Neodiprion lecontei: one gene and its partner. The protein of the gene in region 2 purifies or fractionates together with the protein of the main gene of each other region. This does not show direct contact. Links are inferred from orthologs where the notes say so. Each region holds a gene or a part of one and is shown on either strand. Other genes may lie near its edges.

Region 1 (7,555 bases), on a different chromosome or scaffold from region 2:
CTCTCACACTACTCCCATCTCTGATGTAAAAACCGAGAGGCTTATCTGAACCGTGCTTCAAAAGCCGAACACGTCTGCACGTCTCTGGCAAAATATCCACATCGATGATAGCGGAAACCTATGAAGATGTTGGTATAAGTTTGTACTGATTATTAATTATTTTCCATGTTAATCATGGTTAACCGACAATTGCAAAAGTTACATGTATCGTTATTCGATGAACAAACCTGTCTGAAATCATGGGGATTCGATATTGCCAAAGATTTTGGTTTCCCAGGTGTTCCACCTAAAATACTTGATATTAAATTCCGTGGTTTCATGGTTCCATACCCATTCATTTCTTCCAAACTGTCCCCTGCAAACATAATTAATAGAATAAAAATTATTACCAATAATTAATATTATGTAATTCAATTTGAATATCATACTACCCTAGTAGCATTCTGAGGTAAGCCTGCCTACCAGCTGCAACTGCAGACTCTATGCGTCTACTTTCACATTTGACTGCGGGTCTGACGTTAGAATCTGCATTATTCGAAATCTTGCAGAAGTCTGATGTCAGGTAGCAAGATGCCGCTGTCAGGGAAGATTCTGAATTGACTCTGTAGAAAGACTTCCCACAGTCTTTTCAAATTTTTGCAACTGAAGGCAACGCTACTAGGGTAGTTTTGGTCATCATATTCAAATGAGATGTATCATCTTATATATTTGAAAATAGGAAACAGGACTAGGTATTTATAGTGTGTACTATTAAAATGATAAGATATTGCTTTAATCAAAAATTTATGTAAGCCCTTGTGGTTAGATTGTGAAAATATTACCTGTTTATTTAATCATGAAAATTGTAAGAATTTATCATTAAAGTAAATAGCTTTCATAAATAAGCTGACATTGCCATTAGAAATTCCAGTTGCCTTTTATATATAGCGACAATTGTCTTGAATAATTTTACATGCAAATCACGTTCGACTCAGACATTATGGCTATCGCCTTCCACAAAAGGCAACAGAAAGGTATGCTTGGAATGCTCATTTGAAATCAGTAGATCATATTTTCAAACCAAACGCACATAATGTATAAAGATATGTAGGGCATCTGCTATTCACAAAGAAGCATTCCATAGGACTTACTAATGTATAGATCAAGGCTTATCACATAATAAGTATGTGAGTGAAAAATCATGCGTAGAAATTGATTGTAAAATGAACGCCCCCTTTCGACTCAGATTCATTCTGATTCAATGATTGAATATAGTTCCAATAACGTATACAGAAAGATATTATAAGAAATAAAAGAATTTTACGAGAATGAAAATACTGCTAGAGATTGGGAAGCTTATCTATTTAATAATATCTTATTAAATTATATGACCAAAATAAAAAAAAAAAGATTGATGTTAGTGGTCGATTCAATATCTTGCAGTAATCGTCCACTAACTTTTCATTAATTGACAAAGAAACCAAAATTATAGTTTCAGCACTGGGGGCTACCAAACTTTTGTTAGTTTCAGAAGTACACGAAAAAATATTTAAAAAATTACGTTTTCTTTCATATCAGCAATAAGAGTTTACAGTAACAGAAAATAAACCACAGTGTCAAAGTTATTTCCATAATTAAATTTTATTATAAAAAATTTGTACAATCACAGGATTAACACATTTGAGATAGAAATTGGTAAGCATAACAAAAAAAAATTTGATCTAAAGTACCCCTAATTAACTAGTAAGCTTGCAACATCAAACGTAGGTTAAATTTGTTAAAGTATGCCGTGATGAGTGTATGTAGCTTATAGTTACAAAATACATTATATGTATGTATAACAATTATGATTTTAATAACCAACATATAGATCATTCAGCTTTTGAGCAAAGCTAAACCTAACAAGAAAAATATGGCACTGTGTTTAGGTTCTGTGGTTATATATTTAGTAAGAGAAATCTCGAGGTAAAAGCTAAGCTAGATATATTTTATACCGACATTAGTTTAATGGCAATTTATAGAAGATCACAGATAGTAGCAGTAAAAAATTGGTCACTCTTAATATTGTCCTCTGCAAGTTTTAATCACTTTCAATGAATTTTTAGAACCATGTGAGAATCAATTGATTACGAATAATTCGCAGTGAAATATCACTTTTTGGCAAACCGCGTATATTCTTTCAACCAATATAAATTACACACATCAAACAGCCACTGGCCAAAGGCACCCCAAAGCTGTACTCCGTCGCATTTTCATACACCAAAAGCCTGCTGGCCCATTCTGTCCCATTGTACCACAACTACTGCCTTTCGCACACAGAATAAATATTGAAATTAAAAGAAATCTCACAACCGTAGATAAAATCTACCTCGATGCAAGAATGCAATAATGGTCAACAACTTATAAAAATATCCAAGAGGTTGGAATATATAATGTTGATTTTTGCATGCAAGATAACCAGATAAGATCCCATTCAGTTATCGTACACAAAATTATGAAACTCTCTCGCAACACGTCTGTTATTGCTCAAACTTACAAAAGCAGCAAGTTAATAATACACTCTCCGTTTCAAAATACTAATGGATGGCGAACGGTAGATAAAAATGCTGTTGAATTGCACCGAGGTATCGAAATGGCCAACCAACCAAAAAGATTAGATAAAACTCGAATTTACCTTTGCGTTGAATGATGATTCTGAGGACTGGCTTAGCAGTAAGCAGCGCTCTACCCAAATTATCATCGTTGTTTATAGGAAGTAGATCTCCATCTCTTGGGTCCGTGTATGAGATTAAAAAACTAAAATCTGCATCCAATTGGTGTAACTTTGCCAGAAGATTTTTAAAGTCCTCATATCTAATTGTTTCATTTCTGTTCAGCGAGAATCTTCTGAATTCAGCGTCAAACTGCACATAAAAGAAAAAATTGTTTAAAATCATTACACATTATCACAAGATACAAATACATAATTATATTATAACTAAGAACAAGAACGCATTGTACTTTTTAAAAGAAAACATCGCAATATCGACGTAGCTAAAAATATGTTAGACAATGGTCGTGCTTCGAAATAATATCAGGAACCATACTCCTACTTTCTGGTTTTATTTTTTATTTTTATTTTTTTTTTCTCAATGCAATTAAAATTTAAGCTGTGTAATGAAGTACATAGCTGTAAAGAGAATCGGTGAAGCTAGACGATTGGAAAAAAAAATAGAAACACACTATTCTTGATGAAATCATAAAATTGGAACGAGTCACAAGCCCTTTCTATGACATAGAATGCACTGAATGACTCATACAGTTTGAAGAAATATTTAAAAAGAGTAATCTGAGCACAGTGACTAAGTCAGGTATCTGATTAATGAGATGAAATACATATGATTTCTATGCGTTAATAAATGGATCATTGGAATTGGTTAAAGATCATTGATGACTGAGGGTAGAAGAGGGGCCTCACCTTACTCTTCACTTCGACGATGCCGTTGTCCACGCGATGGTGGAGTTTATTCTTTGACATGGTCTATTTGAGAGAGAAAAAAAGAATCTCAGCAAAACCCCTGTCGCCGAGGGCGAAAATCCATAAACAGAAAATAACCCGTACAACACGTAGGGACGCGAGTTGTTGGTAAAGAACGCGAAACCATAGTACGAAAACAGGCAAGCTACTGAGTGATTGGTTACATATGTAGGCAGCTGGAGCGGAGAGGCGCGACGAGTCGCTGCTCGACGATACGGAATCTACCGCTGCATAGGTGTCGCCATCGTTTTACTCCGTGTTTATTATTCAAACTAGCATTCCGATTTCGAACACGGGAAGATTGGTATGAGTGCGAGCCATGTAGGAACCAAGTATGAAAAATCAGCAGCAATCAGCCATGCACTTTCCAAAATTGTCACCTCCGAGGATCAAATTTAAAAGCTCCGTCAAATCTTTTCTAGTTATAACCGTCCTCACTTCGGCAATTTTGATATCTCAAGATCGTCTCACACACGGAGCAAAATGTCGTAAGAATTTCCCGCGAGCGAATGGAATGTGAAGACACCGTGTATATACGTCTCAACTTGCTCTCAACTACGCTTGATGTCAAACAACCGTCGAACCGTCAACAGTCACGCACTTAGTATTTTTCAGAGGCATTCTAATCATTACTAGCGAGTAGCGATGGTAGAGACTACTCAACTTACGCTCCTATATCTAGATGCGTAGTTCATCACCTGAAAATGCAAATACGATGATTCTTGAGTAGTGACGACAGGTGGCAGAAAATACATATGCATCGGAAAACAACAAGATAGGTTAAGCTAATGAAATAATACGGAAAAAATATATGAAATGAAAGAGGAGAAATTTGTTGTAGAAACATGGTTAAATACATTTGTTGTACAGTCTATCTATATAAGCGTATGGTCCGTTGACTGAAGACACATAAAAACTGCTTCCTTTATGGGACTTTTCGTAATTGAAAATGCCCAACATAAATTCGTCGCCAAGCAGCGCCCTCTGCGTCCTCCCCTACACGCGCAACTCAATCCGGTAAGCGGTCGGTAACCCAGATAATACAGAGTCGAATAATAATATGCCTATAGAATGACAAACGGGAATAGATTGAAATTTTCATATAACCCCGTATGGACGCCGTATCTTCTTAAACGAACAAAATTTGAAAGTCATTTCTAAGACCCGGTTTTGAATGAGCTTCGTTTTTTTTTTTCATCGGTTATCACGGGATACGTGCTAATTTGGTATGCAAATATAGTGTTTTATTGTAACATTAACTTGTGTCGACTGCGAAAGGTCAAACAGGGGAGAACGATGTTGAAATTGTCAAACTCTAAATTGCCAAAGGTATCTATAATGCACCTCGTTGTCTTTAATTAAGAAACGAAATTTATCAAAAACAAACATGTATTTACGTCGAATTTACTCTGACTAAACTAGAGAAATCCGAAGGTATTACGATTCCACATGCGTTACACATTATCAAAGCATGACTTTATTGACAATGAATTAAATTTACGCAAGAATAAAATTGTCACTTCGAAAACTAAAATATATTAGTATTTGAACAGTGAAATAAGTTCACATATGCTCGTTTCCACACCACCGCAAGCGGTAGAGCACCCGGTGCGTTTTTTTTTACGTGGTATCCCCAGTAGGCCTACTCCACGGAGAATACTTGCAAGATCGATCTTACGTTCTTCGAAAAATTGCAAATGACTCTTTTCACATGTGATTTATGGTAAATTGTTTTCCCCAATCAATTTTTTTCTTCTAAATTTTTTAGATCATATAACCCACGGACCATTTATTATCGATGAAAGATGACTGTTCTAATTACGGATGAAAGATGGTTATTTTAATTATGGATGAAGGGTGATTGATTTTATCTTATAGGCGAACGGTGATTGACTTTGGATGTTCGCGCACGGTTTTTTTTATGAGATATGAGATCATCACTAAAACAGAGAACCCGGAGAATACGCAAAACTGGAATTACGAATCGCTGTAAGACGTTGGCATTTACCTCTCGGAAGACAATGCAGAAATCTTTGAAGAAACAGAGACAATTCGGAGTAGAGAATGAGCACAACCACCAGAATATGACAGACCTGTATAATTCTACAGTGAAATACAAACCGAACATGACCTATGAGCGACACGAGAAAAAAACTGACTCTAAAACGATCGCAATACAAGACTGTAAAACCATTAAAAGAAACTATAGCTGAATAAATTTTACCACACTTTGTCATCATGATGATTCTAAACTACATCGCTAAATCTATGTAACGGTCAAAACAAGATGACTGATGCTGCACCAAACCTAAGCCTCAAAAATAAAGCGTTAATTTTACAGTATAGTCAATATAACTCACTTAGCTGGAACAGATTGAAATATAATTAACGGAAAGAGACAAATTGAAACAGACAAAAGGTTTGATAAGCTGAAACAAACAAAAAGATTGATTAGCTGAAAGAAACAAAAAGATTGATTAGCTGAAACAGACAAAAAGTTTGATTGGCTGAAACAGACAAAAGGTTTTATTAGCTGAAACAGACGAAGGTATGGTTAGCACAATCACATAATATTATATAATATAATATTATATATATATAATTGAAACAGACAAAAGGTTTGATAAGCTGAAACAAACAAAAAGATTGATTAGCTGAAACAGACAAAAAGTTTGATTGCCTGAAACAGACAAAAGGTTTAATTAGCTGAAACAGACGAAGGTATGGTTAGCACAATCACATAATATTATATAATATAATATTATATATATATAATTGAAACAGACAAAAGGTTTGATAAGCTGAAACAAACAAAAAGATTGATAAGCTGAAACAAACAAAAAGATTGATTAGCTGAAACAGATAAAAAGTTTGATTGCCTGAAACAGACAAAAGGTTTAATTAGCTAAAACAGACGAAGGTATGGTTAGCACAATCACATAAGTTCATACACCGACAAAAATGGTTCGCATCCAACATGATATTCGCTTTGATATTCGTTGCTTCGATTATTAATTGTATCGATGAATAAAAAACATTCTAAATGTTTTGAATCGACAGCTCTTTTTGCTTTGAGTCATTACAGTGAATATCTTTTTTGACTGAACATTCTATAGTTCTCAGTGCATTTATTAAAAAATTGGATTTGTTGCCCTGAAACGGAAAATATTACGATCAGTTAAGCACGTATTTCAGTACATTTCAGATATATTTCATATATAATTACGTCAAGATTCTCCACTATCAGTATAAACTACCGCGATTTTTGTTCCTGCGCGTTGAGCACCGGCTTCCAAATGCCGCGCTTTCTCTAATAACTGAAAAGCATCAAGTCCACGCGCAAAGGCGCTGTGGAACTTGAAAACTTTGTTATTCGTCAAAAATTCAACGAAGAGCTGAAAAATCAGCACGTCAAGAGTGCGTAACTCTTATATATAAACTGTACGCAAAATCAACGCACAGAAAAACGTGTCCGATTCCCGTTATTAATTTACGCGCATAAAGCTGCGTCCAATTCTCGTGAATAATCTACGCGCAATAAGGCGCGACAGATTAAACTGTCAAAAACTTTGTATTTTCTGGGACTTGTCCCAAAAATTCTGTAGAAACCCAATCCGCATCTGCATCTTTTAGATATCAGATACATTGCTATGCGGATTGTGGTTCTCAGATTACAAATAAAATTGAAATTGGGAGGGAGATTGGAGGGCATGCATTATTGTGTGGCGTGACGGTCGGCGGTCCTCTTCGACGCGAAGTCTTCGAGCTCAACATCTCTCCCCATCTAGCGTACCACGGAACGCGATAGATGGTCCAGAGATGCGTTTTGCCCATTCAGACGATCACAGAGATCAATCGAATGGAATAACGATCTGTAATGACTAAATAATTGAATTGCATAACGATTGAAAAATGGTTGCTGAGTGACAAGAAATTAAAAATTCAATTTCGTCAATATTCAAATGCTTTCAAGTGGTCGAGAGACTCGAATACGGAGTCTTTTAGGAAAAAAATTTCTGTGATCATTTGACGCTGTGAATTACCAAAGTTAGTAACATC
Region 2 (7,653 bases):
TTAAAACAAAATTAACTATTTGCACCCGAACTTTGAGAAAAAAAATTTACATCTAGTTACATTTTGGATTATTCTTTACTTGTTGCTACACTTACTCGCTTATCGGATGAGCCAGAATTTTGGAGACAGCCTTACACGGAAATGGTCCATAGAGGGTTGTGGATTCTGGCACAGTGTCGTTCCCAGCTCCCCAAAATGCGTACGAACCATCATTGTGTGAAGATACAAAACGAGTCTCGGAAACCCAGTAGATAGATTCCAGCTGTTGGGTGGAGACGAATGTCTGCGCACGCGAAAATAAACCCATCAGCTGCACACGTTCACCGAAACCACGAAAGACACAAACAACAGTCAGAAAATGCGTCGCCAGCACTAAACGAAAACTAACTTTGCACAATCGATTTACGTAGCTAATCTTCAGCCATCTACTCGATGCATACACTGTATAATATCCAACTCTGAACGGTCATTACAGTTCTATATTTTAGCTCCAAAGTCTCAATGTAGTGACAATTGTGAAAATTAAATTTAAGAGTATGCTGGTACAACATATAAAATTTTTTTATCACTTGAGTATACTTCATGGTTTAAAGTTAAACGCGAGTTTTCGCACCAAGATATTCAATTATATTTACGAAACTACAGAATACACGCAGCAAATGAAATTGAAAATAAAAAATAGAAAGCTACTGGTATTTGATAATATAAGAATTCTGATTGTGGCGGACAATTATTATTCAATTGAAATAAGAAAGCTTGACGCAACAAATAGTTAATAGATTAACAATAGGGTGTATTACTTAATTTTGATCATACTCTCAACTCACCTGTTGGGCTCCGGGTGTAGCTTTGTTCCACAAAACCATGAGCCCACGATTGTATCCAATTAAAATATTATCTGGATGTCCAGGTTGCTCGGCTATGGCCTCCACTGCTCCAGGATTTATTTTGTAATCCTCCGGGACACTGCGTGAATTTTATGCAATTTTTATTCCAGTATTCATGTAATTAAAACGGAAATATTCGGGATCATGATCATAATCTATTTTGCAAATACGAGTCATTTGTTCAACTCTTCAAGATTTAGTAACTCCTTATAACTTCCAGTAATTAGTACTAGATACACTACTCACTTTTGCATCACAACATCCTGATAAATGATATTATCAGAAACTGTAAATGACTTTAGATTCAATAGATAAATATTTCCTCCTTCTGTCCCTAGTAATAGATGATCCCCGTTGGATTCCAAACACATTGCAGAGATTTTTTTCAACTTTCCTTCAAGGGAAAGTGATTTTGTTTCAACCAAAGAACTCTCATTGATCTCCCACAGGTGTAGAGAGTTGTCGTCGCAAAGCGATACAACACGTCCCTAAAAAATAATTTCAAAAATTTTTCCATTTCTGCAATAGCAACCAATTAACAAAGTTGAAGGTGGTAACATTATTATAACAAAACGTTGGATAGAAATTCACTGTTTTCCAGTTTTCAATCCCTTCAAAGAAACTTAAATTTGAAAATATGAGTGTGATTTGTTTTATTACGATTTGCTGTATTTCAAACAATTCGAAAGTCGCAAAAAAAATAGTTCTACAAAATGAATCGTTTGAATAACGTTAGTAACTTCAGCATGTTGCCATTCATCAATTGTTCAAACACATAGCTCGCTAACAATTAATTATTACAAGTAAAGTTACAAGTAATAAGAAAGATTTGTCTAGATGGTACGGTACAGGAATAGCATATATGTAAACCACCCCTACACATTAACGGCTTATGTAACATTTTGTGGTGATCGTGAGTGCAAGAAGGTGTCAGATTACCTCGGTGCACGTGTATGACTTTTATAATAACACTTCACAGCTTTATGCTTTTACTTCTCTGTATAGTCGTCAACAGAAATTAAAGTTTATTTTCATTCCCTTGGGTTACTTAATTTATAGCAGTGTCATGCAGGCAGTTTTTTGTTTTTTCCATTTTTGATGGATGCGTTTACCAAAGCGTGAAAAAAAAAAAATTTAATCACAAAACTATAAAAGAGGACCATTGTGCTCACCTCGTTTGGTATAGCAATGATTTTGGTGACTGCATTTTCACCGCTTTCCGTTGTGTGTTGTCCGTAAAATTCCACACCAGGCCTTCCAAAACTGTGATTTTATATCACAGGTATCGGTTAAGGAAAATACATACTCCTACCTAATAGAGATTGTATCCACGTTAAATGCTACCAACGGATTTTTCACCACAGCTGATAAAATATTTCCCAGAAAAGTGAACACATTAGAGTGTTGGTTTTATAATACCTGATCGCAATGCTGGCACAGGTACCTAAAGCTATGCGAGGGCGTCCGGTATCTTGGAATGGTAACATATTCACCGCTGATTCATCACATGATGTTTTTTCTATTTAAACTTTTTTGTAACACACTATCAGAACAAACAGTGATGGGGTTTGCGAGTAATTGAATTTCTCTCATCCATCAATAGAAAAGGATACACTTTGATGGCTCCAGAAGCTGTGCCGATGATCATTAGTCGTAAACTGTAATCCCATGCGAATGCAGTGGGCTTATTAGGAAATCCATGCTGTATTGTCTGCAAAAATAATGAATATTATGACAACAAAAATCAGCATCCGGTTTTACCTGTTGGGCTGAAAAGTCTGATCAATATAGGGTAACAAGATTAATTGACTGAAAAAAAAAACATATTTTGATTAACATGTGCTTCCTATGAGTAATCTGAGAAGAGGATGACTCATATTTTGACAACTTAAATACGCTAGACCTGTTTATATATCTCATCTTACTTTTTCACTCTTTCTCGCTATCTCTGTTTTTCACATGCTGTTTGTCAATATGACAAGAAAAAAAATACACACACATTTCTTCTCAACTCATTTGCTATGCAGAATAGTTAATCAAGTTGGCTTGAACAGATCAGAGTAATAGTATGAACAGACTTATCGCACACAATTTGAAAAACGACCCGATCTAACGAGCTTAATTACTTTTAAGTGGCTCTGATTAAATATTGGAGACAAATGGAATAATAAATGATTCTATTTTTACAAGTGACATTCCACAATATAAAACTGCTTCTTACATCACTCCAATCAGTCTCAAATTGCACAGAATGTTACAAATTGCGCTGCAAATTCATACAGATGAAATTCTTTCCTGGACTCGTTTTCATTGGCAATAAATAAATACAATATTTAACATGCTCCATGCCGGATTATTAATTGTTATATCAGTGTGTGTATACCAAAATGCATCGTACGTACAATATCAGCACTTTTCTGTTACCCAAGAAAATACGAGTGATCAATTTATATATTATAGATAATAGATTTTGTGAGTCATGTATCGAAGTGTATACAAGAGATAAGAAATCGGAGCACGAATTAATATATCAGTTCAGCAATATCTCGTGTATCACATGTATCAATGTCAAAATGTATTTCGAAAAATCTTTCCCCTTCATCAATTCTTACATCAAAAATTATAAGAAAAATTGAAAACTGTTGATCATTGTTCTTTCAGAATCACATGAATGCATTATCAACAGAAGCATAACTAAATGAAACTAGCTATAGGCAATGGTTTGAAAAAAACAAAAAAAGGGAGTTATTTCTTTATGTATGGCAACGCTCTATACATAGACACTAGATACAAATACATATGTATGCGAGTAAATATTAGTTTTAAGGGCAGGGCATCTCTTATCACTGTTTTTAAACAGAGTTTTACGATAAGATAGATATCCACCAACTGCCGATAGGTATAAATGAACCATCGTTTATTGCATTAAATCTTGCTAGTTACGATTATAACAAATCAATTGCATCAACTTAGAATATTGCAGAAGAAAAGCCGATACGGTATTAAAAACCAGCGTTTGTTATCTCTAGGCCACATCATGGTTCACGCACACCTACCGACTTATCTTTTAATCAAAACTGTAACTAATTGCAAACTACAAATAACCGCATTAGGCATGGATAAAAGTAAAAAATAAAATTAACATATCAAGTTAATTTCATTATTTTTTCATTACCGTAGTATATTTGAATATGAACATTTGGTGATATAAGGGTTTAAGAACAAATAATAAAGGCTATAGCCAATTATCGCCAGACGGTATTTAAATTACAAATGAAGTTCCATTATTTGATAAATAAACTCCCAACGAAGTTTAAAACACGTGTGAATTTGGTACGGGGTTGATTAGTTCGCGATAGAAATTGATGATGAAACGAGTGCTTCCGATATTGTTGATCGGATGAATAGTTGTTAATTAATGTTTATGTTCTGCTTACCTTCCGGAAAGCGAAAAGGTCCTTTTGCAACTTCTGACGCTCAGCTGTGGGTTGCTGACCCTTCCCTCTGATAAACTTCAACATATTTCTGCGAGATGGTAATGAAAAAAAGAAAAAGAATACGTACACAACAATTCACATTTACGCTATAACGATCGCAATGTTACGATATCTCACTATTAGCTCAATTAAAACATTCTTGAATGAACGCCGAACGAGGCTAGTGCAACTCCTGAACGCCTGTTTATTGTCAGTGTGTTCGGCTCCCACGTCCTACACACGCCTATATCGCCGTGTGTCACTCGCCTGCACCGTATATACCGAAAAATATCGTACAATGGGTGAAAAAATTGAGCGAAAACACTCGCGGGCACCTCTTACCTTTTTCTATCAGAGATTTTCGCTAATTTCACGAGAGAAATTCACGTAAAAGCACGTAAAATCTCGACGAAGCGGGGCGGTAAGTCATTCCACGACTCTTGATCGCGTCGTTCGTGTTCGTCACTTCGTGTGTCGGGTCGTCCAATCGCCAAACGGTCGGCTCTTCTCGGCTCGGTCGGCGTGACGTCACGGGACCGCAACGTTATGCTCAACGCCCAACATCGGCAGGGTTCGGAGCTGTGGCCGAATTCACTCGAACAATGACCTCGAACATTTGAAACCTGTAGCGTGTGTACTCAGCGTGTGCTCGGCTCGTTTTGTGCGCATTGTATGTACAATACGTACAATGTATTTCTCTCTGCAATGTGTTGTACTTACATACATGCATACATATTCCACGAACGCTACAAACTGTTGGTGTTACGCGTATTGTATGTATGCAGTCAGTATAGGTACAAACATATACCTATAAACCAATGGCATTGCGCACAATGCGTCGACATTCGAGCATAGCAAATCAATTAACAAATGACAATATATACATTCACGAAACGATGCACGCCTTTCATTCTAGTCAGATTGTCAGGGTAACGGGACATTTCGTGGACAAACGCGTTTTCTCCGGCATGCGATGTATGTATGTACATGTGTCAATTTACGTGCCCAAAGCAACATTCTTTCATAAACGAGACGTGATCCAACAAACTGTGCGATCGGAGCACGTAATTGGCGGGTGTTACAAGTTACAGTTCAATCCGGCCTTTTTATATGTGTATATGTGTATATGTGTATATATCTATTTTGTAGCTACTGCCACCTGTAAACGGGTTCATTCAACATCCCCGCCCTGACCAAATCGAACGAATTTTCAAAATTACGACTGCGTCATGTTAATCCATCCATTAGCTGCTTTGCCGTCAATATTGACTGTGACAGAATCTTTTGATCCGAAATCCTGATTTTGAAACATATGCAGGCTTATTGTCGAACATGTTCAAATCCGGGATCGCGAAAAGAACTCTCAATTAACTTACTAGGTAGATGATTCTAGAAAATTTATGTCTTCATAGCATCGGTGTTCAGTCATTTTTCTATTGTTATTCTAAAAAAAAGGAGTCCCGCGCTTTCCGTTCGTTCTGTACGTGCTCGGCACCATTTGTTCGGCCGTTTGTATTTAAGCGATTCTACACGTTTAATCGCTACAATTTGATTTGCTATCGGGGAAGAAGACCGGAAAAAACGATCGCCGAGGAATGAAGAGAAGAATTTTCAAATAGAATATACTCATTTATCCCGTATTCGAATGATCATGAAAGATCGAGAGGCATTCTCATTACCGATTACGATCACGCATCAGGAAGTCAAGATACGTTTTGAGGAATAGTCTGCAACGATCTTAGTTCGGTCTTGTCTCCCGGGTAGAATAGTAAGCTTTGTACAGGTCAGCAGGTTTATTTTCATTCTTACGCTTACCGTCTTAGTCATTGTCAAATTAGTTGACCAGTAATTACTACCTTTTTTGTCAAGCCTTCGTCAAGTTTATCAAAGTAAGCGGTTTTTTTTTACAGTAGACTCTAATAGGCATTCTAATAAGTCCGCTACCTGAGTTTTACACGATAACAAAAATGTACCGATGCTGAGTAATGAACAGACATATCAGCTACTCTTCATCAAAATATGATATATTTGTTTTAACAGACCATTTTACAATATCTTTTCATATGCACATTTTCAAATTAATTAATTTATAATAACAATAAATAAGCGTTGTTAAATTTTGGTAGCGTACAATTGTACTTTCAGATTCATGACAAAACTAATTTCATATGCTCATGCAAAAGCTACTAATCGATAGACCAACCATTTGAAAAATTGTCAAATATAAAATTGCTACTCTTAAGTAGTCCTGTAATGATATGTCTACAATCCCTGTTATAAATTATTTTCAGCCCAACCATAGAAAATCCGGTTTTGAATGGAAAAAGATGAAAAACAGAATGTTACACACGTTTAACCGAATTCTGCATTTACATCTGCCTATCTTCACGTCTCGTATTTTGCAATAGTGTAATAGTTATTATGCTTCTCTTAAAAATTCAATTACGCATAGGTACTGCGGTAAAATGGATATTTCGACGAATAATATAACTGCTTTCCATTTATCACAAGATAATAAAATAAAAAATTTTCACATAATTAGAAAAATGTTCAATAAATATGTAATATATTTATATATATATATATAAATATAAATAATACACCTGTTATGCTGCAGTGTGCACAAGTTTGTTGACATTTCAAATATATTTATCTTAAAATTGATATCAAGTATACTTTATAAAGTCGGCGAATAGTTCACATTGAGTTAGAGAGTTCAGTTTTTTTTTTCTTCTCATGTACCTAATTGACTACACATTGAGCAGTTGAATGATTTCGAGTACTGGTGCCATTCGATACCGCAGTATTAAACATCCATCCCAAGGTACGACGCGACAAATATCCTCAGGATCTTATTGATGTTTTCTGTCGCAGCCATATCTATGTTACCTCTGTTATCCCCCGATTGGTGCCAGAAAGAGGGGAAAGGCGACGGAATTAAATGGAGTACCGGCACACCTAAAAATTTGCCATTTCAAAACACGATACAAATTTGTTTTAACTTCACTACCGCCATTCTTGGTTTGATTACTTCGGAAAAAAAAGAACCTTTGGAATAAGCAAATGCAGCTTGATCGAATTAAAACATATCTTTCTCCTCACCTCTTTTTAAAAATGGAATATGATCATCTTCGATATTGGCCCGAACTGAGTACGGCTGGAAATATGTCTGCTCAGGATTTTCGTACGAATATTTTTCCAGTCTTCGCATGGCTGCCAATTTTCTCTCCGCATTAATCAGCATCCCATACCATTTTTCTGTGTTCTCAAAATAGTTGTAAAACGTCGGG

What was found. Proteins that work in one complex are often made in the same cells at the same time.
Region 1: the proteins of lethal(2) giant larvae protein homolog 1 (region 2) and partitioning defective protein 6 purify together in Drosophila melanogaster (affinity purification with western blotting; 5 studies listed by BioGRID, with this or other methods). This does not show direct contact. The link is inferred for Neodiprion lecontei from reciprocal best matches to the Drosophila melanogaster genes l(2)gl and par-6.

The regions. Positions count from the first base shown.
Region 1 is NC_060262.1:27,048,985-27,056,539, reverse strand, and holds the start of partitioning defective protein 6, read right to left. Parts: upstream 4,151-7,555; 5' UTR 3,497-4,150; coding exon 3,437-3,496; intron 2,883-3,436; coding exon 2,654-2,882; intron 356-2,653; coding exon 228-355; intron 119-227; coding exon 1-118.
Region 2 is NC_060261.1:42,956,243-42,963,895, forward strand, and holds the start of lethal(2) giant larvae protein homolog 1, read right to left. Parts: upstream 4,817-7,653; 5' UTR 4,502-4,816; intron 4,413-4,501; 5' UTR 4,409-4,412; coding exon 4,325-4,408; intron 2,599-4,324; coding exon 2,501-2,598; intron 2,151-2,500; coding exon 2,060-2,150; intron 1,376-2,059; coding exon 1,134-1,375; intron 967-1,133; coding exon 828-966; intron 311-827; coding exon 96-310; intron 1-95. Other genes in the region: glutaminyl-peptide cyclotransferase, read right to left, coding at 7,170-7,321, 7,466-7,653. UniProt on the Drosophila melanogaster protein: Essential for the development of polarized epithelia, for cell polarity associated with asymmetric cell division of neuroblasts during development, and for oocyte polarity formation.